Linked DNA regions of Oreochromis niloticus. The protein of the gene in region 2 interacts with the protein of the main gene of each other region in a biochemical or structural test. Links are inferred from orthologs where the notes say so. Each region holds a gene or a part of one and is shown on either strand. Other genes may lie near its edges.

Region 1 (7,274 bases), on a different chromosome or scaffold from region 2:
AGACGGTACCTGCTTGTGTCGGCTCCTCTGCTTGTGTTTCCTGCACCCCGTCCTCATCCCGCTCACTTTCCTGCTGCTGTTCCCCGCCCTCTTCTTCCTCACTGGGGGGCACTGGCACCACCTTTACTGTGATTGGTAGTCTAGACACAGTGCTGGCCACACTCATAGGCCACACCTGTAAGATAAAGACAGCTGTTGTTAGTGTGTTGATTAACATCTAAGTACATCATGCAGATACCTCTATATCACAACACCTTGTGTGTCTGCATGTGTTTCTTCACATTGGACTTCTGCGCGAAGGCTCGGCCACAGACGATGCACTGAAACGGTTTCTCTCCCGTGTGGCTGCAAAAGGGAAATTGTTTTAATGAATCCTTTATTTCAGCTTTAAAGTTGGTCGAGTCTACATCCTGGCAAGCAACTCACCTCCTAATGTGCTGCTGGAGATCAAAGTTTTTCGAGAAGACTTTGTCACAGAAGTTACACTTGAGCTTTGGACCTTTTCCCTTGAGCTGCTCTGCTGAAGAGTCCAATTCAGACAATTAATACAGTTTAAATAAACATCCATCACGTTGTCCTCTACAGTTCCATTAGGTAAAAACTGTAGCCTACAAACTGAATCTTTTTACCTGCGACTCCATCTGAGCTTTTTTTACAGTTCCTCGGTCGCTTGGGAACGATAACCTTTTCAAAGTCACCCAGCTCCGTCATGCTGGTGGTGATGCTGCAGGTCTTGGTTTTGGTGCCCTGCTTCCCGGGGCTGTACACGGGAGGGGTTGTGAACGAATGACTCTCCACACCCTGACTGGGCACCTGAGGAAGACACGTACGCTCACAGAAACTGGAAACAAAAGGGCGCGTATCATATTTAGCACTGTGACGGCAACCAAACGGCAAGCTTCACTCACTTGCACAGGATGGAAAGGCTGCAGACCCAGTGTGTGGATCTCAGCTCCACCCCCGCCACCCCCACCACCTCCACCACCTCCGACCATGTGGGGCAGAGTGCTGTACACCTGCACCACTGAGTTGCTGTGGCTCGCCGGGACCTGGGAAGTGAGTGTCTGCTGGGTGGGCTGTGCAGGTGGCAGGGGATGGGAGGGTGGCTGCTGCTGCTGCTGTTGTTGTTGTTGTTGCTGCTGCGGGGGCTGCTGCTGCTGTTGATGAAGGTGATGGAGGTGGTGGTGGTGATGGTGCTGTAAGTAGGACACACCGGCTGTGTGCATGCTCAGGTTACTCTGTCATAAAGGAAGCGGACAGATTTGATGTAATAAATTAAAACACTGGGGCGTGAAGGAGAGAAGGAGGCAAACAGTACCTGTATGGGAGTCTGCATGGGGGCCATGGGCTGGTCGATGGAGGTAAAGGCTGAGATGGCGGACATGAGGACGTCATCGCTGACGAGCACGTTCCCTTGGACCAGAGTGTGCGTCAAAGGGGAGGGAGGGACTGTGATGTAGGTGGACACCTGTGTGAGTGCCAAGTCAAACACAGTCACATCAGCTACTTTTTGAATCATTATAAGAAAATCTTTTTTTCCTTTACAGTCCTGGCCTCTTATATAACGTATTTATAAAATACTTTTACTATCAGGTCACCTTTACCTCCGACCATTACCTCTTTCCCACTTCTCTTTACGTTTCTTATCAGTTTTATTACCGCTTTACGCTCTGCACAACTAACTTATTAAACCAAGCAAGTTATTTATCACCCCCACAGATAAATTACCCTTTTGCTTTCCTCACCTGTCTGTTGGCAGGAGTCTGCGGTACTGAACTAATAGACGGGACAGGCGTGTAGGCATTGGTGGAGGCCAAGGACACTGTGGACAGAGAAGGGGTGCTAGACTGGCACTGCTCCCTCTTGTGCGTCATGAAAGCAGGCAAAGAGTTGAACTGTTTTTTACACTTCCCACACAGGAATACGTCTTCATCGTCTGTATAAAGGTTTTAGGCAGCAAGAAACAGCAGAGGGGAAAAAAAAAAGACACACATGAGTCAATTTTGAGGATGTTAATGCACTTTTGGACATTTAATGGGTGGTGATATTCGTCCTTTAATGTTTTTGCAGTGATGCGTTTGGCTTTGGTAGCTATTTTAAAGGAAAAGTATTTTTCGAAGTCTGCACACGATGACTGCATTTCACAGCAAAAAGTGTGCACCACCAGATAAATGAAACTAGCAGTCGAGTGTGTCACGAGGACTTAATTTTGGTTTGATGAACCAGCTAATAGCTAACTAACTAATAACACAACTGTAATAACGTATCAAATTCTTGCCTCTAGATTCTTCTTTTTGTGTAAGGTTTTTGTTATGTGACACAAATATGAGCTGCAATAACATCAGGATGAAAACATGTGCTTATATACTACTTACATTGTTTTAACTGACATTTACTTAATAAACTGATCTGAAGACAAGACTTTAAGAACCTTGGTCTCTGGGATGATTTAATCAAATTAAACTGAATCCAACCACCAGGGTCACTGACCGCCACCCAATCCACAAGGCACCGAACCCCTGTGGTACCTTCTATTTGTGGTGGGCTCATTGTTGCTCAGTCTGACTATGCCTGGACAGGGCCCGTAGTTAAGGTCTGACCTCTGCCTCAAGCCACATGTCTGACTCCAGGGTTGGGCCTTGGTAGCCCTCTCCCAGGCAGAGTAAACTGGTCCGTATTTTCAGTTCAAAAATACCTGCTACCTGAGGGATTTTTCTGACATGTCATCCCTTTAGAATGCACTGAACAAAATCCAGGAAAGAATGGGGAGCAATCTCTCAGCTGGCTTGGGAATGTCTTAGTGTCCTCCTGGATTAGCTAGAAGAGATGGGCGGGCATCTCTCCTTCTGCCCACACAACCCAGACCCGGATAGGCGGCAGAAAATGGATGGATGGATGACATGTCTCTTGACATAAAAGAATAACAGGACAATAACACAACCTGTCCCACAGCTGTGCATGCCATTACATACCCATAGACTGGATTGTTGGCGTCCCAGAGACGTTTTGGTTGTTTGGGTCAGGAACACCTCCTTGGCTGTCCAGCAGTGACTGGACTGCCAGCACCGTCTGATTGTCCATGCCTGAAGAGTAAGAAGAAGAATTCACCTGCTGCAAAGATCCATTTTATTCTGAACACTCAGTGATGCACTGAAGTGTCTAAATATGAATTAGTAGTTTTATCTTATTAAAAGAAGAATCAACTGTGATCAGAAACAATAGTAGTGTTGAAGACTAACAGCTTTCCATAAGGATATCTCCACTGCGCACAGTAATCTCCTAATACTGTACTCACTACAATAACAATAACAGTAATAATTCATTTACAACAAAGAGGCTGTTAGTCCAGTAATATTACAAAGTCTTGTCATTAAGAGGACCTGGAAAGAAAATTACCGTGAAATGTAAATACATTTACCATCTGACAGCAATACGATGACTACGATTTATAATAAGCTGCCCGTTAGGTCGAAAAAGTGTTTAATCACTTTGTTTGTTTACATTCATACTGAGTCCTTCCTATATGCTGTTTTCCTTATTGAAACAAAAACCAGAGGCTCGTACGTGGATTTACGTTATTTTTTCTGCGTTTCCAAATGGGCCTACATCAGTGAAATGTCTAAAGTAGGAGTAAACGTTTTGGGTAATTGTAATTACGCTGCCAATGAAGAAATACTCATACCTTCCAGCACCTCAAATATTGCCTGCGCCATCTTGTAGCACTCCTACTGCGTGGTAGGCGCTCGATTACCTATGGCTGCCTCTTGAGGTAACTCTGCTCAACTAAGGAAAATCGCTTTCACCCAGACATGTTTTACAATAATAATAATACTAATAATACTAATACTACTACTACTACTACTACTACTACTAATAATAATAATAATACTTATTATTATTATTATTATTAGTATTAGTATTATCATTATTATTTGTGAGAAACTGTTCTCGAACACGAGACCGGCTAGAAGAACTGCGGTTAATATTTTGTTTTGTTTTTTACTTCGACAACAACAAAAATATAAATTTATATTAATTACAAACAACTTGGTTGACATCACCCTGATAAACTGAAATGTATTTGCTTCAACTAAAATAAAATGGTTTATTTTCCAAGTTCCGCGAACGCGCTTCTCATCGATTTATCTGCGTTCGGTAATGTGACAGACATCCGCTTCTTCCAATCAGAGCTCCTCGGCCCCGCCCTGCGAAAAGCGCTCAGCTCGGACCAATCCCAACCGACTGTTTGGCGCACGTGTCGGTTTCGCGGCAAAAAAGATTTCGCGCGAAAACCGTCAGGGGCTTGTTTAGATGTAGATCAGCTGAGACAATAACAACAATAAAGGACGATAACGGGGTAATGACGGCGGTTTAACGGGTGGATTGCGGCCGGGGTGAGCAAGCGAGGTCCACCGATTGTTATGTTAAACCGTGCGCTTGTTTTTCGCCGCTTTATGTGCTTATATTTCCAGTTTTGTCGGACTGCTTCCTGCGTGCCCCAACAAAACAAGGGGATTGAACAACTGCCGCTAATAAGTTAGCTAACATGCTAATCTGCCCTATATATTCATATTCGACCACATCTATGTACTATCCGCTGGACTGATGCTCGCTTTTATGGATATAGTCTCAAAGATGATTTTAAGTTCCCGTGATGCTTTTTTGCGGCGTGGATATTTTGTTCTGATCGCTCACTTCTGTAAGCTGCTGTAAAGTTTTAATAGCCTCTTAACTTCGCTCGGTGTTTAATACAAGGAGGAGTAATATTGTTCTAGCGGCGTGACCTGCGAGTTTGGCGGCTGCTCGGGTTTGTTTTGTGACCCTGTTCGAGTCTTTGTCGTTTGGTTGGAAGCTAGCTCGTTAGCCGGGGTGGTAGCTGTTCAGGGGCAGTGTGGCCAGGCCTCGGCTCTACTGTACTGACAGGAGAGATGAAAACAAAAGATTAGCTTGCTCCCTTTGCTAGCTTGCCAGAGTGGATTTCTCCCACGGCCAGTTTCGGACTTATTCGCGGCGGAGCTTTTATAGTATGCATTTAGCAATATTTCATGTGCCAAATTTCCTGTTTGGCAGCACACCCTGGCTTGCTGTTTCAGCCTCAGCCTGAGTTTTAGGACGTGGCTTTACATTGCTGTGGTGTAATGAAAATGTTTAACAAAATAAAACAGTTTATGAAATGTTCCACCTGCTTATGAACTCATTCGAGACAGTTTTCACGAGAATTCACCGTTGTTGCCTTCATTCACAAAAAAATGGCAGATGTGAGTCGGTGCTGATACTGTCATAACAGCATCTTAGTTTATAATCACCACCACCACCGCCACCCAAGTCCAGTGAAGAGGGGCTCCTGGTGACACACTGCAATGTCAGAGACTCTGATAACAGGGCAGACATCGGAGGATCTGTTAGCAGACTTTGAGACTTTGCTGAACTCTGGGAGTATCAACTTGGACGAGGACCACCAGATAGTGATTATCACCAGCCCCAGCAATGAAGGACTCCACTCGGCCCCTGCCCCGACCAGCACGGGGGAGATCCTGCTGTTCGCCACGCCACAGGGCCCAGCTGACGTAGGGATCCAGGACAAGAGGAGACCACCTCTGGGAAGGCCACCGGTGAGGAAGGGAGGTGTGGGAGGAAAGGGGAGAGAGAGAGAGAAAGTGAAAGAGCAATAAGGGAAGTGGTTAAACTGAGAAGTTGTTCGTTTACATACTGCACGTAGCAGAGCTGCTGTAAGTTACCCACCTGTTGCTGGTATCAGTTTCACATTTCTCTGCTCGTAAACAGTGCGTGACTGTGTCAGCAGTTAGTCTGTTACTGTCTTATGTCTGTTTCTTACTCCAGACATGTGTGTTCCTTCAGGTAAAAAGGAAGTTGGACCTGGACAGTGACCATCAGTATGTCAGCACCACTCGACCTTCCACAGGCCAGGCACCGCTTTCCACTCCTGCTCCTCCCAGAGGTACAGCTAACAGCCCACACCCCACTCTAAAAAAATCCTCGCCCACACATCCTTGCTCACCTTTGCCCTCAGCCATTGTCATAAAAGCAGCTGTTCTTTTATCAGCACGGCCTGTCATCCTGTCTCCTCCAGACTGGCTGTATTGAGAGATACTTACAAATATTTGTCTATTCAAATAATAGAGAGACTGGGGTTTTTTTGAGAATGGAGCAAAGGAAGAGGCGCTGCGATTTATCAATTCATTTGATCCCTTTCATTTGGAGTATCTGGGCACTCTGCATGCACCAAAAGGATCAAATGATGGACTTGAAATGGAAAAGCTACACGTGACACACACATTATATTAATTGGTATAATGTGGAAATACGAGTCTATCCCTCATGCAAGATAGACTTCTGAACCGTTTAGAAATGCAGTCCATGTGGATTTCCACTGGGATCTGTTTGGAAGGAGATGGATGCAAAGCAGCTTTTCAGTATCAGTCATTGACGAAATCCACAGCTGGATAGCAAAGAGGGGAATTTTTTCCTTTAAATATCAAAAGCACGGTGGTTAGCACTGTTGCCTCACAGCAAATAGGTCCAGGCCAGGGTCTTTCTCTGTGGAGTTTGCGTGGGTTCTCTATGGGTACTCTGGCTTCCTCCCACTGTCCAAAGACAATGTAGTTAGTGGGTTAGGTTAATTGTAACTCTCAATTGCCCATTGGTGTGACTGAGTGCAAATTGTTGTCTGTCTCTATTGTTAGCCTTCCGACAGACTGGCAACCTGTCCAGGGCGTACCCTGCCTCTCGCCCTAAGACAGCTGGGATAAGCTCCAGCTCCTCTGTGACCCTGAGGAAGAGTCCCATTTTTTAAAGTGACTGATAATCTTCATTTGAACCTTTTGCCCACCCCAAACCGCTGCCTCAGCTTACGCTCTAGACCAGTAATATGTGCATTTCTTTTAATTCTTGTATGTATTCTCTTTCTGCCCAGTTCCTCGGACCACGGCAGAGAAGTCTCGGTATGACACCTCTTTGAACCTGACCACCAAGCGCTTTCTGGACCTGTTGTCCCAGTCGGCCGACGGCGTGGTGGATCTAAACTGGGCGTCTCAGGTGCTGGATGTTCAGAAGAGACGCATCTACGACATAACCAATGTCCTGGAGGGGATCCAGCTCATCTCCAAGAAGTCAAAGAACAACATCCAGTGGCTGTAAGTGTTCAAAGACGCCTAAAACAGCAAATGAAAGAAATCTGGGAACGGGAGCAACAACTGTGGCAGAATAAATTTGAGTGCTTGGTGGGTGTGTCTGGAGATCCTAAGCAGTCGGTT
Region 2 (7,480 bases):
CACTATCTGAAACTGTTGGCCTGGTCCTGCTGTGGCAGGCACAGCAGACTCCTGCTGAGCATGTGTAAAATGCAGCGTCTGGCCATCCACTGTCTGAAACTGTGGAATGACCTGGTACTGGATGTTGGGCATCACACCTGATATAGTGGTAAGGACCTGCTGACCCTGCATTGACGGCGCCTGAGCAACTACAAAGGGCTGTTGTTGCTGCTGCTGACTCTGAGAGCTTGCAGCGGGCGACAGCACCTGTCTGTTCTTGATGAGGTCTCCTCCTGACATCACTCCTGAGGAATCTGTGGTGACTGTGTTGGAGCCTGAGGATGCTTGAACACTGAGAGGGTTTACCTGCCAGCTATTGGCACTGGAGGTAAAAACAGCCTGGTTTAGGTCCAGTTGCTGCTGCTGATTCTGTTGGTGCTGGTCGGCAGGGGAATCGTTCTCTCCCGGGGTGTCAATGCGACTGCATGTGGCTGCCAACAAGGCGAGTGGTGATGGCTGCTGTGAGTCCTGGAAAAAGAATAAATGAAGGAGCTTTTAGAAAGTAGAAATATATGAAATGCAATGTAGAGTTACAAAAAAGTAACAGCTGTCAAAATATCAGGATGTTCAAGTAAAGCTGGATACTTGCATGTGATTGAAAGAATTCACCTATATAATAAAGTTTAGGTGAAGAAGAGAGTGCAGGCAGGGTGGAGCAGGTGGAGGTGAGTGTCTGGGGTGGTTTGTGACAGAAGGATGGCAGCAAGAGTGAAGATGGTGCCACTAACTCAAAGGCAGAAGATGGAACTGGACGTGGCAGAGCTGCATACACCCTGGAAGTCAATCGATTGTCACTGCTTTAAAGTGGACGGCTGGTCGCTTGTGGACATTCCATGCTACTGTTGCCTAGGTAACTCTCTAACGTATTTACCATCAGGTCATGTGCCAATCAGCCGTATTCTTCACTTTCACTTGTAGTCTTGTCCGTTGGTTACCTCAGGTCCCACCCACTTCCTATCGCTTGCGGTTATTTCGCTCATAGTCACCTGAACCCGTGGAATATCATCCACTTTCTGTGGTTTCTAGTCATCCGGTCACTGCGAATCACTTCCAGTGTGCACACAGCTTTCAAGTTTCGTTGGGCGTGACCAGTAGGGATGGGTTTAGAAATAATATTGGGGGAAAGCCATGTGAAGTGAGAGAGAACGTTAGAGAGACGAGGCTGAGGTGGCGGACAAGCACAGAGGACGGAAAATTTATATATTGGACAAAGGATGTTGAAAACTGAGCTGCCAGGCAGGAGGAAAAGAGGAAGACCACAGAGAAGATTTCATGGATTTAGTGAAGGAGGACATACAGAGGGTTGGTAGAGGATGACGATGTTAAAGATGGGCTGAGATGGTGGTAGATAATTCCCTGTGGCATCCCCTAAACAAGAGGAAGTGTAGCCTGGTTTGGAAAGCCCAGTAACACATTAAAATGTAAATATTGTCCCACTTTGAAAATGACAAATTACAGGGTGAATTTTTAGAGTTTATTTTTTTTCCTTCCTTGCACATAATTCAAAGCATTTACAATACAAGTTTAAATGGTTTAAAATGTCTCTTTAAAAATATTATTTTCCAAATTAATTTTCTGATTTAAAAATGCTAGTGATGTGGTAGATTAATATAAAAAGAAGAAGAGGGATTTCTTTTCTGAATGTCAGAAATACACACTCTACTAACAAGAACTTTATTAATAATATTAAACCCACTTTCTTGCTCTTTCCAGGGGAGTGGGCATCAAAGAGAGATAGGTGAGGGGGTGTGGGCAGGGGGGTATGGGAGGGACCACATTTTTGTGGAGTTGCGGCGGGCTTGGCTTCCCCTCCCCCCAAACCCACCCATCTCCCTCCCACACTTTTAGTTTGCCCTATAAACTGACTCACTCCGCTAGCCACCCCCTCCAAGGCCAGCCAAATGGGCCGAGCGAAATACACACGAAGTGCCGGGTTTAACGGGAACACCCCGTGTGGGCGACTTTTACCTGCCCATTCCCCACCCCGGTAACATGTGCTCTGGGGAGAAAATCAACAACCCTCACAGACCCCGACACAAACGAGCCATAGAAGCGATCAAACAGATGGGAAGTGCACATGAGTTCAGTCTGGCAGTATCTCCAGTGGATGTGTCCCGTAACCTACTTGTGAATTTGCGTTTCGCTTTTGACTGAAGCCTCCACCGCTCTCCACAGCGGCCATTTCACCCTGCTGCTGATCTGCGGAAGAAGAGTTTTTGTAAGAGTACATCTCCTTAAAACACTTCACAAGAAAAAAATACATCACACATCGAAACTTACTACTGGGTGTAATAAAAAGGACGGAACACACGGAACAGCACAGGCCACGAACACAATAAAAAGGGTGTTTTTCGGAGCCGCTGTGAGGCGATTCAGACAAGAAGTGCAAGAAAATCTAAGTGCTCACAGGGCCAGCTACATGCTAAGCTAACGTGAACTCACAAGTGGTGTAAAGTATGAGCTGAAGTGAACGAAATGTTTTCAGCCACCGCTGTAAGTACAACTAGCCAGCGAGCTCACATCAGTTGCACAGAGTTAAGTGATACTGTCTGCTTACCTATTAATTTAAGTCCAAAAGTAAAGTTACTTGTGACCAGTTGGTTAATTGTTGTTAGCCGTGTATTAAAAATTAGCGGGTTTGTAACCTTAGTTGGTCACTTTTAAAAAAAAAAAAACAACAACTCGGCATTTAGTTATCGGCACACGCCACATTTACGACACGGAACACATTGAAAACAACGTACTGCCACTCTACTCCTTACTGTTCAGTTATCGGTTCGTCCACAACATGCCAGTGAGTTTTAAAAAGTTCACTTACTGCTCATAATTTGAAGACGGGAGGAGTTTCGCTGCTCTTTTTTCTGCTTGACAACTTTTCACAACTTCACACTAACTTGACGCCCCCCCCCCCCCCTTCTTTGAAGGAGAACGGTGGGTGCGTTAGATTTAGGAACCCGGCAGCCTGCCCACGTCGGGGAGAACACGCGGTATAGGTTTTTAACAGGCTTATCAGAGGAAGTAATGACAAGGAAGTTATTAAATGAAAGTAGCTCCCCTATACAGCTCAAGTCCAATTCCAGTTACGTTTAATTCAAACTTCTAGAACCTAATTATTATTCCTTTTAGTTCTTAGTACAATGTTCTTCGGTAGAAGGTATTTATCTAATATCAAAAATACAAGAATACGAGTGGAAAAATCTCCCAGTCGAAATAGGTATCCATATATTCAACAATGGGCGTTTTGTTATATTAAAAATTAAACTCACCCCCTGTTCACTGCACTATCGCACTGTTCCCATGAATAAAAGAAGCGCACCCTTCTAAGAGCTTCTTTTGAGCAATCGCTTCTTTTCTCCAATGGAGAAGGGCGTTTCTGCCAACGAGTATCAGTCGGCCAACGTAATTGGACTAGAGGCAAAAGACTGGGCGGAACCAAGCACGGTAGGTTGTATCCCTGAGTATGATTGACGTTTGGTTATCTTTTTCCGCTTAAAAGACGCCATGAGTAAACAGTTCTCGGAATATGGGCGATCGCCTTTATTCTGTCAGACATTTGAGCCTGTATTGTCCATCTGAGACATTAAGGCTCGTGTCTTGGTTTGAAAACGGAGGTGGGGAAGGAGGAAGGCCGCATGGGTATTTAAGTCTTGCCTCCGTGGCCACTGGCCACTCCCTGGTGGCGCCCGGTGGGTCGGGAAACGGCAAGGAGGCGGGAGGAGTTGGCCAGGGTGGCGGTGAAGATTCCCCCATCACACGCACACACTGGCTATGAACCGCGCGGGGAGGAGAAAATGGCTCGCCTGTGGGAGGGCTTGTATTATTAGGATTCGTGAGGGGGCTGTCAATACGGCAGCACATGTGCCCGTGTAAACAGGAGAGAGAGGGTGGAGCCCATCCCCAGGCCAGGCCTGCAGCCACCCACCTCTGTATGAACTCCATCACTGATACTTCTTCAATTCGACACAGACATGAATACATGAATACCGCCACACATTGATGCATGCATGACACCACCACACTCTGAACTGATCTAGCAGCACTAATTCAAGCATTCAGGTAGTCTGGAAATAAATGCAGTAATATGGCACTGTTAAAGCACGCTCAGTAGATGCTTTTCATCATATACTTTACTATGAAGACAATCATAACATCAGCTTTTTGTCCAGTATTAGCCCGGAAAGTGACATCACTACAGCATTTCATAAAATACAGTACTGTCCTGTATACCCACGTCCTTACAACAGATAAATAAAACTACAGCCTACATGCAAAATATCTGAAAAACTTGTAAATGTGTTTTTTTAATTAACACAGTTATATTAAGTGATTTTTTGTGAATATTTAAAGGGAAATACTAGATATGCATCATAGTGGAAAATGTTAACATTTATTTAAAACATAACTTTTACAGCTTTTTACCTATAGGTGATTATTAAAAAGTAAGAATAATAAAATAAAAATGTTACTTATTAATCAGGTGACAAATGTTGATTAATAAATAGCCTAAATCAGAGGTGGGCAATTCATTTTAAGGTTATAATAAAATAAAATAAATACTGGGCAGAACTGAGTTCAAGTCATTTGTATCTTTACTGGCTTCATTAAATTACAGTTTTTTCCCATTTTTTGTACTTTACTGCACGGAGAGTCCTGATTTCTGAATACTCTAAATCCCAGGACTGCACTCTTCTGACAAGAGACCTCTGATGTTGTGCGAGGAATCTGCAGGAGCCACTCTTCCAATTTCAGGGTTACAGCTTCTTACAGCTCCTCTTACCACTATGACTACTTTGGACTTTACCTCCACATCTGCTCCAGTTGTTCCTTCAGCTTCTGGTAGTTCTCTGTCTCCTTGTGCTCCTTCCTGATGTTGCTGTCTGCTGGGATTACCACAGCCATCACTATGTCTGATTGGTTGACCCGCAGCTGCTTGTCGGTCTGGAACTCAGAAGTCTCACAGGAAACTTAGGACCTTGCTGTTCTTCTTCTCTTCCATATGCAACACAGATGTTCCAGTACACTATCACAGCCACTTGGTTATGTCTCTCAGGGTATGCAGTCCAAGCTTGTATCTTGCATCCTGTTACTATGTGTTGGATAGTCTCTGGGGCGCCTTTGCACAGTCTGCAGTTTGGGTTCTGTCAGCTGTGGTAGAGTCCTGTCCTTTATGGTGCTTAGGACCTGTTCATGTGCTGCCATGATCTGAGCCTCTGTGCTATCCTGTAAGTCATCTTTTTCTAGCCGCTGGTAGGATTTCTGATGTTAGCTCCTTCTAATATATATATGAGCATCTCTGTCCAGTGGGGTGCAGTCCCAGGAGTACCTAAGATACTGTGCAGGACCCTCAGACTCCCAGGCCTCTGGAGAAGACCTGGGCCTAAGGAGTAGATGAATCAAACCCGTCAGGAGGATCGGCACTATAGTTAGAGATTGTCACTTTAGTCAAATTTGTAAGGATACATCACATTTATCAGTCAGTGCAAAAAATTATGCTAAAATGTCAGACTGGCATTAAGTGGCACACTGCACTGGGATGTTGGAGTGATGGCTACAAATGGCCTCTGTACTCCCACGGCATTAGCAAGTCTACACTTCTTTGGTGTCTTCATGATACACTAAGATACGAGAAAATCTCCTTTTTCTTTCTTTTTTTCCATTTTTTAATTACATATTTACGATTATCAGCGACTCATTGCTCTTTTTAAGCAAAGTTTCCCAGCTGCAGTTAACAACTACACACCTCACAGTAAAACGACTGAAGAAGATGATTGTGGGCCACTGGACGCAAAAATAATGTTTATTTGTTTTTAAAAATTCAAATATCACAGGAGAGGTGCAAAAAACACGCACTATTTGCCTATCATATGATTTGCATTCAAATCACTCGTGTCGCACTATCACCTTTGCCTCTGACATTTCCACAGACCTGTCTGAGTGTGTTTTTGTTTCTGCAGGATGTGCAGCAGCTGCATCCCACGCTGATAAAACTTTTGTATTTCAGACGAGATGCAAAGTTACTTCCTACAAAGGCTTCTCAAACCGCTTCACCGCCAAGATCCGCGCATATTCAGCCCGACCTATAACTGACTGCTTTCGAAAGGAAATCACCAGAATCGTCGAGCGGTCGTTAATAAACGGGAGCCTGCTGGATGCAGTTTGAGAGTTTTGTAAAGATTGCAGATGAAGTTGCTCGTATTTAAGCCGACACATACAGGAAACGAGACAAAGAGCGCCTCTGATACAGAACTGAAACCTGCGCCGATGAAGGTAAGGCTGCTTTTCGGTTATCAGCATTGATTGAGCTCTAAAGGCAGCATGTAGTCGCTTCGCTGTAGCTGGATGGAGAAAATCTTACTCCGTCTTATTATCGAGAACATAGCATCCAACGGCTCCTGTGTGCTGTATTTTAAAGTAAGTAAATAATTATTCTTAATTAGTATAATCATATATATTTAATGGTTTACACCTCATCGATAATCTAGACTAGTCTTATCTAGACTACACTTGGTTTCCCTTACATATTAAAGTAAATTACGACTTTTAATGAATAATGACTGCTTTTACTTTGAAGGGATTTAGAGTGAACTGTCAGTTAGTCATACTGAAGGCAACTAGAAGCCACCTTGTATCATTTTCTATTATCCGTATGTTTATATGTTGTTTGCTCTGGTAAATGCGCTTCATGAGCATTTAACCATAACATACCAAATTTTTATGAATATTTATCTGTACATGTTTTATATTGTGTCTGTTATCTTGTCTCCAGCTGTCCTGGAGGTACAATATTTCATCTGAACTGTTTGTCTGACTTTGATGAGCTTTAAGCAGTATAGTCTCTGAACTTAATGTCATAGCTAGATTGATTTGCGTGTAGCCACCTCATTTTTACTGCAATATTAAGTATAATCTATGCACAGATGTCTTAGAAACACTACTGATAAGGAAGCGGCTGTTAATATCCCTATGCAAAAATGGCTCAATTTTAATGAGAAGGGATACTCACTGAAAATCCTGAATACAACTGACTTTAGAGTAAAATGTGTTCATTCTCCTAAAGTAAACATTAAAGCCTAAAACTATGTTGCTGCTTCAGTGTTTCATCCCCGGCTCTTTCGTTGCACCTTGGCAGCTTTGACAGAGCCATGTCCCCCGGGTGTCCTGTGAACTGAGGCGATGGAGAGCTCGTCCTCCACAGTGAGGCGGCGAGCCTGGATCAACAGCAGCCGTCAGTGGGTCACTTTTGAAGACCCTGAAGGGCCTCTGTGCCCGCTCCCATCTGCCTCAATAGCGGACGATGATGTGTTCTCTGATGGTAAGAGCAGATTCTGGAACGTGGGAGGGATCATCCTCCATGGTGGTTTATTATTAACTATCTTCAGCATACATCAAGTGATCAGCTGAACTTGAAGATACCTAAGTAGCTGGATACTCCATTTATTGG
Region 3 (7,342 bases), on a different chromosome or scaffold from region 2:
CATAGCATTTTATAGCAATAAAATTCTCCGTGCACATCAAAAAAAACCTGTAGTAACATGATATTTTTAGGTTTGTTGGATGAATCGATGTCGTTGTGCATAACACATTGTGCATTAACTGCAAGGGTAGTAAAGTATGTCTGTTTCAGGACAGAAATTGTTTAAAATGTTGTCTGCAGTTCTAATTGCCTAAAGCACAAGGCCTCCTGTAATGCTAAGAGTTTGTAGTATAACATTTTTCTTAAACCTGATCTATTGTGATGAGACAAATGATCACTGTAGTCGTATAATTGTCATGTTTGTAACAATTTCAGCAGTTTTGGTACTAATCAATTTTTGCAAATTATATAACAATTGACAGATTGCAGTTCAAAAATATAGTTTTAGAGTAAAAATTACAGAATTACATAATTTTTTAAACCACACAAACATATAACCAAGTTAATCAATATCTGGAAATATAGCAATATGAAAATAGCATAACTCCTGCTGTAACCATGGCTGGATAAGAGCCAAAGCCATGCCAAGACTGTTTTGTTTGGTGGGTGGATCTCTGAATTTGAAGCTGTAGTGAACTACTGTTTTGTTTTTAATCAGTCTTAACGACTCCGTCTCATGTTGTTGTTTTGTTAAACATTTGTTGCACAATTATTTGTCTGTCTTGTTTTAAAGTTTAATTTATTGGTGAAAAGCTGGTTCAGAGTGCAGTAAATTGGATGTGGTTATACAAGTGCCTGGTGTGAGGACCTAATGTGTGGCCAGCATCTATTTACTGATTTTTTTTATTTTTTATTTTTTTAATTTATATCATCTGATATGTAATCAGTTTCATCCTGTATGTCAGTGACATCTCTAAGTTGCACTTGTTGCCTAAGAATAATTTTTGAGCAGTAAATGTCTGTTTTATATGAGCTCCCACCGAACTGCATGTTAACTCTCAATAATACTTATATCTACAGCTGTGAAAAGAAAATGACCTGTAATAACTTGGTTATTCTTTTTTTTTCTTTTTTTTCTATGTTGGTATGAGATTTAATACTGGCTACTTTGACAAGAGAGTGATCTTGAATAAAAGCAGAGTGGACACAGGGTTATCATGTAGCTGCTTTACACTGGAAGAGACCTGGCGAGTTCTTATTACGACCATTTATTGCTATAGGTGAAGGTAACACACTTTTTCTTAAAATTTAAAACTGCTGTATAAATGAAGAAGTCATTGTGATGGTTCTGTACATATACAAGGTTACACCTTTTTATCTGATATGTTTCTCTTTTCTGTATATTTGAGACAATTTTCTTTGGGTTTGCCAATAAATTCATATGTTCCTCTATTTTTGCTACGTGGTGGTTTGTCACAAACGGCAGTAATGCAGAAATGTGAGACTAACAATAATAATGGGTAACTGTCAACTGGGGATATTTTCACATGATTTATAAAAACCTAGTTCCAAACAAACAGAATCACATGAACCCAGATTTTATTCACAGTAGAACAAAGAAAACACATTTGTTAGAAAAAGAGGGGATGTTACATAATGGCACTCTCCAAACTTTTTGGACACGTCTTGTTACCATCAAATTCAAAATATTTTTCTTGTTATGGTACATGGTGGTTCAGTTTAAATGTGATGTTTTGTGTCTTTGACTGTGGATGAAATGTGGCTTTGAGATTTGCAGATCACTGCATACCGTTTTTGTTTACATTTTACAAAGCGTCCCAGTTTTAAGATTTTAAAAGGATAAGTTCAAAATTGTAGTTGTGTAACAACTGCAGTAATCATTCCTCTGGCATCTGAGTGCTTCTTTGGGGGCAATTGAATTGACTCTGAATTTTGAATGGATGTTGGTACCAGATGGGCTGGTCTGAGTATTTCAGAAACTGGTGATCTACTGGGATTTTCCAAAACAACCATATTTAGGATTTACAGAGAATGGTCCAAAAAAGAGAAAATATCCTGTGATCTCTGTTCTTTATGTGAAAATGCCTTGTTGATGGCCAGACTGCTTGGAGCTGATAGGAAGGCAACAATAACTCCAATAACCACTCATTACAACAAAGGTATGCAGAAGAGCATCTCTGAAGGCACAAGTTTGGGCTGCTGGTTGTGGTGTAAGGGTGTGGGAGATACTTTCTTGTCAGACTTTGGGCCCCTAGAGTGTCAGATTACATCTAACCTGAGTATTGTTGCTGACTGCATCCATCCACGTATGCACAAGTTAAACCCACCAGTAGGATACCAAAGCTCAAATCATCTCAGGCTCGTTCCTTGAACGTGACAGAGTTCACTGCACTCAAATGGCCTCCACAGTCACCATATGTCAAACCAATAGAGTACCTTTGGGATGTTGTGGAACAGGAAGTTTTCATCATGGATGTATCACATTTTCATCAATTGTATGACTTTATGATGTCATACAATTCCTATCATGTCAATATGGGCCAAAATCTTTGAGGAATATTTCCAGCACCTTGTTGAATCTGTGCCACTAATACTTAAAGCAGCTCTGAAGGCAGAAAGGGATCCAACCCAGTACTAGCAAGGTGCACCTAATAAAGTGGCCTGTGAATGCATTTGTCTATGACTTATATAAAAATTGACACAGGGATAAACTGGGAAGTCAATACATGGGTGAAATGGGCGTGAAATATCTGGACGAAAAAATATATAAGTGCAAATATCTTTTGCACAAAGATTCAAAATAACTTTTATTTGGTAATTTGCATGACCCCAACATTGCACATGCTGAGCTAACAACACAAAATATTCTCAGATTCTATACAAAAAGTTTCCATCTGCATCAAAGAAATCATTCCCAACTTGGACTGCTGGAGAGGGCTTTTCCATTTTCATAAGCTCTTCAAGTTCTTCCTCTGTCAACACCTGTCCATCCCAACTCTCTTCATCCTCCTCTGTAAGCTCACTCTCATTAGTGCTGCGCTCTGTTGTTTCTGTCACTGTGGCATCTTCACTAATACCAGCTGCAATGTGTGTGGGCTGAACAGTAACAGGGACAGGACTCTTAGCTAGGGAACGTGAGCCATGACCTTGAATCACCTGAGTCTGATTAGCCACAGGGATCAAAGCACCTTCTGTGCTCCCAGGTGGGAGTATGGCTTGTGAGTTCCTTTCGGGCAGTTTCAACCTGTCCTGCTGTGTCTTAGCACCTGAAGGCAGCACCTGCTGGCTCATTTTAGCCATTACTTTTGCATTCTGCTTGGCTTTTCTTTCAGGAGAGGAGATGAATTTGCTTCTCAGGACTCTCAGGATCACATCATGGCTGACAGAGAAGCCTTCAGCCAGACGCTCTACTGTCCACTCGTCTGGCTGATTTTGCTTCAGATATCTGAAAATTGAGATTTCATATTAGGCTTAATTTAAAACACTTCTTAGTTTACCATCTGGACAAACTTAACCCTCATCCTCACCTGATCTGCTCAATGGCATCCCAGGTTAACCTCCTCTCTGGAGCTCCTGATGGTGTCATCTGCCTCCTTAATATGTGATACTTCACAGTCTTCTGTCTTTTTCTCTCTTCCCTGAAACAAATCCCCAGAATATTTAATATATCTTGTCATAAAGACACCATATATTTATTATTTAACATCGTTTTACACTGGAGAAATGTGTGAAAAGTCCTACTGAATCTTACTGAATTAAAGCTTGCAGTTTGTCCTCCACGTCCTCCAGCTCGAGTTCTCCATTAGATGTCTCATCGCTGTATCCTGGTCTGCTTGATCCTTTGTCTGCCTGCGCAGGGCCCTGTCCCATCCGTGCCTTGCTGGCCCCTCTGCTTGCAAATCGGCAGTTGCTAGCACTCACTGAGGGAATCAGAGATGAAGCACCAAACTTGGAGAGGAGGGAGAGTATCTGCACAGACCTGGCCATGCCAATAAACGATGTGTCGTCCTTTTTTCTCTTTCGTTTTTCTTTTCTTGTTTTTTAGGGAGTCACTTAGGTGTCATGATAACAAAAACTTATTTTACTATAAATTAAACATAACCTTGCTGCTCACGCACTCATGGTACCACTCGTAGAAGTACTTCCGCAAACACTGGGCTCATAGCATAAAATCGGCGCTCTACTGCCAACTAGCGCTACGGAGGTAACATTATTACGTGTCCCTGTGCTGAACAAAGGTGGTTACCTCGACCATAACACTACTTAAATTGCACGCGTTGCAGGTTTAACGGTACTGATGCGAGAATAATTTCCACTGATAACATAATCGAATAGCAGTTAACATAAATAATACAAGTCAGGAGAAGTCCGCTAAAATAAGAAAACTCAAACTAAATGGCGACATCTGCCGAGGGGACACTGCAACGCTGCCTCGCCCCCCTGTTCAAGTGTCACGCAGCTGCGCACCTCTCTCCCAGTCGCCGTTGTTTCATTTGCGCCATTTTGTCCGCTCACTTTGTTGATTGGGCTTTAGCAAGCTGTACTGGAGCCAATCAGAGGGAAACCGGACAGCGAAGATACGGTAAGGAAGCCCCGATTGAAGGCATTGGTAGTTGTCAGCACGGATTGGTTTGTCATGGACCAACCAAATTACTAACCCTGCTTAATGCAAAAAACTCAAATTGCAGTTTGATTTCGACCGCTGCGTCCCAAGACCTACAAATAGCTTCATGTTTCTAGCGTTGGCCACCGCGAGGAAACATGATCCCCGCTTGGTCCACAAGCCTTAGCTAGCGTTAGCTTCTTCGCTAAAATATCGTTTCTCGAACAAAGAGAGTGGGAATAAAGCCACCGTTCGACCGTCAGCAAACACTGCCAGGTACATTATAATGAGCTGTAATAAACAAGCTGCCCACAAGAAAATATCCACGTTCGGAGTTGACGACACAAATAGTATCCTTATGCGCTTTCTAGAATTTACCACGCTTTTAGCTAGCGGACTGGCGCTAGCCGTGTTAGCTTCCCCAGTAAAATACCCGCTAAATAAAATTCCCCTTTGAAGGAGTCCAGCAGCTGACACAGCTGTGTCCTCCTGGGGGGATCATGTTTCAGCTGAAATTCGTAGACTTCACATTTGACACAATGCGACACAAGTCGGTGTGAGGAAGCACTATAAGGTCCTCTTTAAATATTGAGACCAATGAATTGAAAACACGTAGATATCGGTTAAAAAGACGGGGGTTTTTTTGTCGTCGTAAAAAAAAAAAAGATCATTTGTTTACATATAAAATGCACTGTAAACCATAGAAATCCAATATTGGCTCATTTGTATGTTTTGTCTTTGCCTCATCAGGTTTTTCACGGTAAAAAGCCATGGAGCAGTACACCACTGCCACCACTACTACTGGAGAGCAGATTGTTGTTCAGACAGCTAATGGACAGATCCAGCAGCAGGTGAGCTTAGGGTCGACAATTTTATTCCTTTTTTAATTAATTAATTATTTTTTTTAAAATTACCCTACCACCAGATATGAACTAATATGTAGTAAGATTATGAATACCAGAGGGTCAAAATAAAATAAAGTTTTAGGGATTCCAGTTGGATCATTGGATCTCAAATCATGGTGTCATTTCTGATCAGTCCTCCCAATTTGCCCTAAAAGTTTATGGTCCAGGGATTACCTGTGTGTATAAATATAAGTCGTGATACCTGTGATCTAAGTATTATTGAGAGTGATATCAACTATTTATTAAGATATAAATTTTTTTGAAAAATGTCCCATCAACCCACTTTCAGCATGTTTTTTTTTTTTTTTTTTTCACGCTTTGAAATCCGAGGCAATGTTTGAACATGGATATCTTTAACACTATTAAAGATAAAAGTGAAATTCTTTACTAAACTCTCGATTCATTAAACTGAACCAGCATCTGTAAATTGGGAGAGAGAAATTGGCTAGATCAGATATGAGAAAAATTAAAAGCAGTCCTGCAAAGTCTAATATTTGAGTAAAGATTAATAAAAAAAAATTCACATTGTAAAAGACAACTAGTGACAATTTCTTAACGATATATAGCTGTACTTCACAATAATGAAAAATAACATGTATAATAATTTTTAACATGAAATCCTCGGTCACAAACATGAAGAAGATGCTATTTTCATTCAAGTTTCATGCTGGATTGAGAAAACATGACACACATTTATACCACAAAAATATTAATAATCTAAATAGAACAGATCTTTTGTAATTACTCTACCTATAACCAAGAAAATAATTGTTTTAAAATATGCAAACTTTTTAACTTTTCAGGTCAAGTTTTTAAGGTAATTATGTTCAAACTTTGCTTGAGTTTTCAGTGTGCAGATTTTTTCTGCCTAAAAGGCAGAAAACTGGGTTTACTGGCCTTTTAAAATAAACAAATCTAGAAATATTTCATATATGAAGCTAACACTTCAAAGCAGGCATTATATATATGTCCAAGCTTCAGACCATATAATTTTTATGCAAATCAGAAATGGTTGACTATACATAGTTTTTTTTGTTTTTTTTAAAAAAAAAAAAGATTATTTGAGATGCAGTAATCCAGTTCCAATTTATTTTCTTGGTACTTTGTTGTTGAGTCTGTATGTATGAGTCTGTATCCTGCCCTGCCTGCAGACACAAGGCACAGTGACGGCTGTGCAGCTGCAAACAGAGGCGCCAGTGGTGACGGCCTCAGGCCAGCAGGTGCAGACACTCCAGGTAGTGGTGTCACCGCCGCCCTGTGTCAGTGTCATGACTGTTTCACAGCCTACCGGTTTGCATGCCATAGCCAGGGCTGTTTGTATTTTTATTTTTCCAGGACCCATCTGTGCTGTTTGGTTCATCATTTCCCTCCCAAGCATGTCTTGCAACTGCACGTTCCTCAGCACAGTGTTTTGTGTGTCAGCCTCCAGTTATTGCTTTTGTTCTCATGGCTGTCTAAACTGAGTTGTGCTTGTCTCTTGCTATTAAAAGCAAGTTTAGAAAGTCAGACGTTCTTGTTCTCAAGTGCCGATGGCTGTGGAGAAAAATATGCAGAATATACAACAGAACATCTTTCTGAGGTCTGCATGGATCCACATCCATTACTGGCTGCCACTGTTCATCATAGTCTGATATTTTTCTTACTGTTGTGCTGAATAATGTCAGCAGGTACTGTTGCCCTTGCAATTTTTTTTCCTGTCATGCTGCTGCTGCTGCTGCTGCTGCCACAGACCATAATTTGTACGCTGTGGTCACTTTATGGATGTAAGATGAAACATCAGTACTTGCCAAGTTGAACATGTAAATGCAAATTAATTTTACCAACATCTTGACCAGAAAGGTACAGTAAGCAAATTCAGTTCTTGTAAGCTCTTGTTTCAGTAGCAGTATGGCTGTAAATACAAGACCTAAATTCTACATACAGAAGTTTTGTAT
Region 4 (7,336 bases), on a different chromosome or scaffold from region 2:
GAGAGAACATTTAAGCCATGGCTGTGGGAAAACAAACAATTACACTTAACAGATAGTGAAAATGCAACCAGATGAACTGATAAAAGACTGACAGAGCCAAACATCTGCCACTGATACAATGCCAACTGAATCAAAATTACTTGTGAATGTGTGTGTGTTTAAGGAAAGAGTGATGATGAGCCTGTTTGATTTACTGTGACTGTTTTAGAGCCTCTGTGTTTGGTGTCTATTTGCTAGCTAGTTACTGTCTGTCTTTTTGTTGTTCTTTCATTTTATGGCAGGTATTAAGCAGCGATAAGCTGCGAAAATGCCACCTACTACGCTGGAACATTATTGGAAAGGTCCTAGCATTGTTTACAATAGTACCATATGTTTTCTGAACTTTTTAGTTTAAGAAATGCTAACTCATAAGCATGCTAGACAAAAGATGACAATGACGGAGAAATAATTCCCAAGAGCAGGAAGAACAGGATAATCAGGTCTAGCAATGAGAAAAGACACAGAGACCGCGATGACCCATTACTGACTTAAAAGCAGTAAAACTGTAATGTTTCATATTTGTTTATGTCTATACACATGCACAGGGTTACATCTATACAACCAGTCTTAGCAGATATTAATTAGTAAATCATGGTGATTGTTTTTTGCCACAGTCCTGTTGTTTTTATTTTTCTACCAGCAATTAGGATGAAATTTACTAAACAGACTGATGTACCCAAGAACATTTTTTTCATTATTTTTAAACAATTAATAAAGCTTGTTTCATCTTCAGGCTAAACATTTAAACACAAAGTATCTGGAACCATGGCTGTAAATGAGCAGGCTTGTTATCCAAGGAGGGACGCCCTTTTTCACATGACTCAGCTTCCTGTATTGCTACCTCAAGGTCTTCATAGAAAACTTTACGATTTTAGCGACAATACAGGCAAGGAGATGTTTTTTTTTTCTTCTTCTACTGCTGGAAAGCATGAAAATCAATTTTATGTATATAAAATGTAAACCCTTCCTCTAGATGTCACTAGACCAACAACATCTGGACATTTTTGCTAATACTAGTCTCTAGCTTCAGTTTCAAACCTTATTTTTATATAGTGATCAAAATATTTTGCTACGTTAACTTATGAACTAACACTGTTCAACGTGTTGAAATTCTGTGTGAAAATGTGGATAAAATATTAAGTGGGTGTAAATCATGTTTACATGTAAAGATTTTATGCATGTGTGCAGGTACGTGGGTCTGGGTAAGTTTTAATATTGTATTGATAACTAGTAATTATAAGACAATGGCTTTCAGGCAATGCTTAGGAGGAACAGGTCGTACAATTAGTTACTAATGGGAGTAAAACTGTGTTTATTTTAAAGAAACAAGTAACTTACAATAGGTCACTTTTTGATTTACAATCCCAACAGTGTTTTTATGTCTGCCTCAGCACCGGTGACCAGATTTTGTCAACAGAACAGCACCGCAACCTTGAAATAACTTAAAAACTTTACCTATGAGATCAAAAGAAGGCGGCTCAACGGTGGGTGTGGTTTGGAAACTTTGTGTTATTGTATTTTATTTTTGCACAAATGTAGAGGTATGTTCTCCACTCTTATAAAGGTCCATTTCAGTAACAGATTCAGTGTTTTACATAAACTGTTTTCACAAATCCATCTGGAATAATCAGTTTGGGATGCTATTTACACTTCTCTGACATGAAGCACATGGCAGGAAACAGTCCTCTTCCCACATGCACTACTGTAAATACCGCATGGTTAGGGAAGGGAGCTGACTGAATGCAGGAAGCACATGACAACCAGACTATTACCAACACGCATTAGCGTAAACTGACCTTACGTGGACTTTGTATTGGGAAGACGGCAAATTAAAGACTGACTAAAGTTCGATTCGAAACTTTGCACCCTTTGTTGTGCTGATAAAGAGCTTTAGTTAATTTTTAATATGATTTTCTGGCGTTCTCTTGTTTACGCTGAGACTCTAAAGGACATGGCACACCATGTAGACACATTGGCTGGCAGATCGTGAATGTGGTTTACTGTGAGCTACAGTTTCTGTGGTGTACCTTTATCATTGGCTTTGTAGCTGACTTGTCATGTTCAGCTAAGGTTAAAAACAGTGTGTGCGGATGGTGGTTAAAGCTAAATTTCATGTGGGCTTTGGTATTAAACTATATTAAAAATGATCATCCAGAATTGTTTGTTCGTTCCAGAATTGTTTCTATTTGAAACAGACAACATAGTTTTTGTGGAGGTTTATTTAGCTTGTTAGTTTAAGTTTAGCTTCACAAAGTCAATAAAATTATACCGAAAACAAGTGTCTGTTCCTCATGCCTACCCAAAATCTCCCTCTGCTATAAACAAGCACTACAATACATGCAGAAGTTTGGACACCTCAAGGCAAATTAAACGTTTATTAAATTTCAAAGTAAAAAGATGAATAAAGCCCTTCGGGGAAACTAAATGTGTCATTTAATTATATATTTAACTGACACACCCAAACATTCAAGGAAACTCTCAGAGGTCAGCATTAATTAACTCATTAGGTCTCATACAGTTCAAGTATGCATCCCGCCTGTCACCCTATGATAGCTGGGATAGGCTCCAGCGTTCCCTGGCGTCCCTGAAGAGAGTGGGTGAATGGACTTGTACCGACAAATTTTCTGACCACTCAAACTTTGCTCTCCTACTTAGGAAATCTCGAGTTAAGCTAACTGACACTTAAAAGACTATTATAATATCATTAAGAATGGTAATTTACAGGAACACTGTAGAAGTGCTGGGCAGAAAGCCCGACTGAAAACTCCATATGATGACAAGGGACCCGGATCAGCATCGGTAAAGGGAGACCTTACCTACGCACAGACGACCTCTGGATAAGCCAACGCCTTTCTGAAAGCTCAATTAAGGTCCTCAGCTGAGACTGCAACCTTGCAAATCTTAGCAAAGGTATATTTGGAGGAAATAGGAACATGGAAAAATTCTGCTTTCAGGCTGGAGAAGAATGGACCCTGTTATAAATACATGTATACACAAAAAACACCACTCAAGAACTCACAATTATCAACAAGGAGAATTATGTGAAAGTGTGCGTACTTCAAACTAATGCATACAAATGTAGTTTTTTTATTACTGCAGGAAGTCAAGCCTGCTGTGGGGTTTTAATAAGCAAATTTGTGGCTACAGATGAGTGTGTAAAGACAGAGAGAAACAAATGCGCTTATTGAGATTTATTTTTTTAAATAAAGAGGCATGTGTACAGACAGCTTTATAACTCTGCCGAAACATACAAGCTCACCTGGCGTTATAGTGAGATTTCCAGCATTAGGAACTTTAAAAAATCCTGACAAAAATATTGAAAAGTACTCTAATTTTAAAAGGATTTATTCCTCACTTGCACGGGTAACTATGCAAAAATACTTCTACCATCAAAGCAGCGTGTTATGATTTATTGAGGACTCTAAACGGTGATTCACGAAACTCAGAGCTTCAGCTATGCAGGCTATTTTCAGGCTGCTTGTGCTGCCTAAGCGAAGGGAAATCTAAATGCTTTTCATTGCTGTGTGTTCAATTTATGCCCCAATATCAGTGTATGAGGACTAAGCTACAGTGTAGCCTAGCTGATATGACCACAGGGGGTGACTTGTCTAAGCTCAAGGCTGCTTTCTTCAGCACTGCAGACATGTCTGGTGTGCAAAAGGGTGTGAGAAAGAGAGAGACAAGCAGGCTCTTGGGGAGCACAGATACCAGCTCCCCTGCTCCCAAACACATGGATTCTGCTGCAAAGGGACTCAGACAACACGCGGTGCAAAGGTTTAAGCTATTCCTTTTCTGGAATACCAACAAACATGAGAATATAAGAACACTATAACTCACCCCCTGCTGGCCTCTTAGGGAACAGCAAGTTCCTCAAGCACAAGTGAGTGCACAAAATGGCTGACCTGAATTAATGCTTTGTGATCTCAGAAGGAAATGACTGTAAAAAGGCTGTTGTTTCTAATAAATAACATAACATAACTACTCGCTGGGACCTTCAGGTGGACTCTTCTCATGTGTGCACTTCCGTGTAGAAAGTGCAACACTTCAAGGTGCCTAACACCCTGCATAACCACCATGCTTGCAGATGCAGCAGGTCATGTGTAACTGTAAGTGTAGGTTTACAAAACTACAATCACACCACTGTCTGTAGTTAGGTTACAGACAAATTTTCAGGCTGTTGTTTGGCAGAAGGCTCCTCCCCCTCCCTATAACCCCTTCCCCTTAGCATTAATGTCTCTGGGCTCTGTCTGGACACCCCTCCCCCTCCACGCCAATGTTCAGCTGCCTGTTCTCTACCACTCATTGGCTCTGTGTCTGTCTCAAACCTGCTCCTGCTGCTGCAGGGTAACTACAAGCTGCAGCACATTTTCTTTGAGTCCTGCATATCCTCCGTACTAACCGACCTAAAACATCCTACAGCGATTCATATACATACCTTGCCTGCTTTTATCTACCGACTTCAGCACGGTGAACAACAGGATGCTTTAAAAAACCCCGAGTGAACCACTCAGACTGCATCTCTGGACTGCGCGACCGTTAGTCGTTTAACGACCAATCCCCCTCCCGCTCGCAACGTCAGCCGTTGGAGTTTTTTTGTGCGTGCGCGAAAGGAGGAGGAGTCTGTTCGCGAGTCAGAGGGTGCTCGGAGCACTCGGTTGAATCCGCGAACACAACAGTTGTTGTTGTGGCACAGTTCACTAGTTTCCCCGGTTCATCTTGAGAACGTGGACTTGATGCAGCACTGATAACGCATCCCGAGAGCACCGGTGCTTCACACAGGGGGTCCGTAAGAGTTGGTTTGGACACCAGCGGGTGAGGAGGAGACCGTACGGAACGAAGCTTAAAATCGCGGGAACATCGGAGGACAGCGTAGAGAAATTCGGTGAGTGAGGTACTGCAGTTAGCATGCTACCCAAACAGCTTATTTGTACTTTTATTTAATAGCAGTGAATGCCATCCTTTATGGAACTTGTGGTTCTGAATAGAAATATTTGATATGAATTAGGAAAAAAAAAAATCTGTTAATGGTAGTTGGCTGCGTACAATGCAACAGTGACCCCTACAGACCGGGATTACAGCAGACATGCATAATGAAAACCCTGTTAGCTAGCAGTGTCAATGTTCGCTAAATGAATAATGGTATATTGAAACTGTTTTTTTCTTTCTATCGATATTACAGAGTGAAAACATTTTATTTGCAGCTTTTATTTACAGACATTTTTTTATTTTATTTTTTCGGTAATGGGTTATATTCGATTAGTTTTTTTTTGTGTGCGTGTTAGAAAAGTCGTTCGCATAACCAGTCCGGAATCATAACATCCATGTATGCTAGCATTAAACTGTAAATTGAAATGAATGCTGATAAATCTTACATTGGTTATTCAGGTAGTTTTTTTTTAGTTTTTTTATTGCATACAGCATATATTTTAGAACTTTTGAGCCTTAAAAAATTTACGTGTCTATTCTTTGATTTCTGATGAACGTTATGAAACAAGTCGTCTTTATCTTTAGTTATATGAATAACAGTCACTTTACTATCTGCTGATTCAAGAAAGAGTTCTTACATCTCTCAAGTAATCAAATACTTTAAGTTTGCTTCCCAGTTCAGAATGTGGAAATGCACACTTGTGTCTCTGATGTGTTCGTACCTCATTTTATGACTTTTTAGGGAAAGTTCTACAAAGTCAATGTAGTCATGTTGGTGCTAGGAAGCAGCGAATATGATCAGCATGCTGCATGTTGAAATAACAAAAAACTTTGTGGCGTCCGTTATTGATCTTCTGTGGATGCTAAATGAACATTTGGTGTTTTTTATAAAATACACAAAAGTTTTTTAGCTCTTACTAGATGGTATCCCTGAATTCACTGCTACAGTATAATCTTTTTAACTTAGCTGTCTAAAGTGACTAGAAGTGAGTAGGAGAAAGCTGCATTCCTCATATTGAGCAGCTGAACCCGCCCCCTCCCCCTCTTGGTTTAAAGTGGTACAATCCAGTAATTTTCCATTTCACTCTCCTAGGATGTGGGTGTGGCCTAAAGTCAATGATCAGAAAAGAGTTGAGCAGGTTTAGTTTTTTACCTGCCAGTGAGTTTACTTAAAAACTGAAATCTCCACCTTTTATGGTTTTAGTGGAAAGATGGAAAGATGTACATGATCACTACACTGCACTAAAGATCAGACACCAAATGTCTTGGGCAATTTCTCAGTTTTCAGTGTTGTAGTCTTTCATCATATTTTCCAACATCTTACATATTTAAAAAAAAATCAGTTCATATAAAGTCCAGAGTTTCATATTTGCTTTTAATTTTTTGAATCATGTCTTGTTTCTTGTTTCACCTCCCCCTCTTCACTTCTGCAGTGCTCACATGGTGCACTTGTAATTCATTACAGAGACAGTTGTTTCCCTACAGAACAGGAAGCAGCCCTTAAAGGCACAACCTGTTTTTTTTGTTTTTAAGCTTTTTTTTCGATTTTACGTAAAGTTATATTTGACTTTGTTGTAGCTATTTATTCTGCTTTTCCTGTAATCCAGGTTTTTGCAATTACTGTAACAGTAATATGCTATGCTACATTTTGTAGTTTTACCTGTGTTCGCTTTAAGATTGTATTTAGTTTGGATGTGTGTTTCAACCGGTACCCTTTTGGTTGCAAAAAACCAGAGTTAATGATTAAGCCCTAAACTCTGCACGAAAATGTTTAGTGGTCAAAACAAACGTTTCCCCCCCCCCATAGATCTCTGTAGAACCAGAGGTTCTTTTTGCAGCCACAACTGTCACCTTCTGGTAGCTGTCAGATAGAAGCCGCTTCCAGATTGGCTTCATATATGTTAGAAATGCGTAAAACAAAAAATGTCAGCTAGCAGTGGCAGTGGCCAATGATAAATTAATTGCCTTCTAATACCATAGAATTGATCATATTACACCGGTAGTTTTTTAAAATTCTGATTAATATGACATCAAATGTTAAAGCAAACAACAAAAAGCTACTTAAACATTGTTACTGTTTTTGTTCATAACGAACTGTTTCAGGTGGGAAAAACTACCTTGTTATTCACAAGGATACATTGGAAAAAGGACAAGAAAGAGTTGTCCTCACATCTCTCCCTGTGCACAGTTATCTGCCACACTGAATCAAAAATCTGTTAATAATGAATTTTCTCCCAAGTTTCGCAATTGGAAAGGTACATTTGTGTCTTGGGTATGTTCGTACCTCACTTCAAGACATTAAAGGCCAGTCCTACAACATCAGTGTAACGCCGTGTTGATGCTAGGAAGCTGCAGACATAATCAGTGTGCT

The links.
Region 1: the proteins of sp1 (region 2) and e2f1 form a complex in vitro, tested with the Homo sapiens proteins (4 studies listed by BioGRID and IntAct). The link is inferred for Oreochromis niloticus from reciprocal best matches to the Homo sapiens genes SP1 and E2F1.
Region 3: the proteins of sp1 (region 2) and nfyal form a complex in vitro, tested with the Homo sapiens proteins (2 studies listed by BioGRID). The link is inferred for Oreochromis niloticus from reciprocal best matches to the Homo sapiens genes SP1 and NFYA.
Region 4: the proteins of sp1 (region 2) and atf7ip form a complex in vitro, tested with the Homo sapiens proteins (3 studies listed by BioGRID). The link is inferred for Oreochromis niloticus from reciprocal best matches to the Homo sapiens genes SP1 and ATF7IP.

Annotation. Positions count from the first base shown.
Region 1 is NC_031984.2:28,972,142-28,979,415, reverse strand, and holds the start of e2f1 (transcription factor E2F1), read left to right. Parts: upstream 1-4,266; 5' UTR 4,267-5,360; coding exon 5,361-5,612; intron 5,613-5,859; coding exon 5,860-5,959; intron 5,960-6,934; coding exon 6,935-7,154; intron 7,155-7,274. Other genes in the region: znf341 (zinc finger protein 341), read right to left, coding at 10-175, 255-345, 427-520, 630-813, 909-1,238, 1,319-1,468, 1,746-1,936, 2,973-3,083 and 1 more. UniProt on the Homo sapiens protein: Transcription activator that binds DNA cooperatively with DP proteins through the E2 recognition site, 5'-TTTC[CG]CGC-3' found in the promoter region of a number of genes whose products are involved in cell cycle regulation or in DNA replication.
Region 2 is NC_031970.2:5,752,681-5,760,160, forward strand, and holds the start of sp1 (transcription factor Sp1), read right to left. Parts: upstream 3,017-7,480; 5' UTR 2,865-3,016; coding exon 2,858-2,864; exon of another isoform or gene 2,784-2,857; intron 2,778-2,783; exon of another isoform or gene 2,597-2,777; intron 2,239-2,596; coding exon 2,165-2,238; intron 1,429-2,164; exon of another isoform or gene 1,337-1,428; intron 508-1,336; coding exon 1-507. Other genes in the region: tespa1 (sperm-specific antigen 2), read left to right, coding at 7,213-7,351. UniProt on the Homo sapiens protein: Transcription factor that can activate or repress transcription in response to physiological and pathological stimuli.
Region 3 is NC_031984.2:21,203,425-21,210,766, reverse strand, and holds the start of nfyal (nuclear transcription factor Y, alpha, like), read left to right. Parts: upstream 1-4,334; 5' UTR 4,335-4,482; intron 4,483-4,488; exon of another isoform or gene 4,489-4,779; intron 4,780-5,253; 5' UTR 5,254-5,273; coding exon 5,274-5,354; intron 5,355-6,559; coding exon 6,560-6,646; intron 6,647-7,342. Other genes in the region: ngrn (neugrin), read right to left, coding at 2,769-3,345, 3,428-3,538, 3,652-3,887. UniProt on the Homo sapiens protein: Component of the sequence-specific heterotrimeric transcription factor (NF-Y) which specifically recognizes a 5'-CCAAT-3' box motif found in the promoters of its target genes.
Region 4 is NC_031971.2:24,258,235-24,265,570, reverse strand, and holds the start of atf7ip (activating transcription factor 7-interacting protein 1), read left to right. Parts: upstream 1-4,326; 5' UTR 4,327-4,921; exon of another isoform or gene 4,922-4,930; intron 4,931-7,336. UniProt on the Homo sapiens protein: Recruiter that couples transcriptional factors to general transcription apparatus and thereby modulates transcription regulation and chromatin formation. Can both act as an activator or a repressor depending on the context.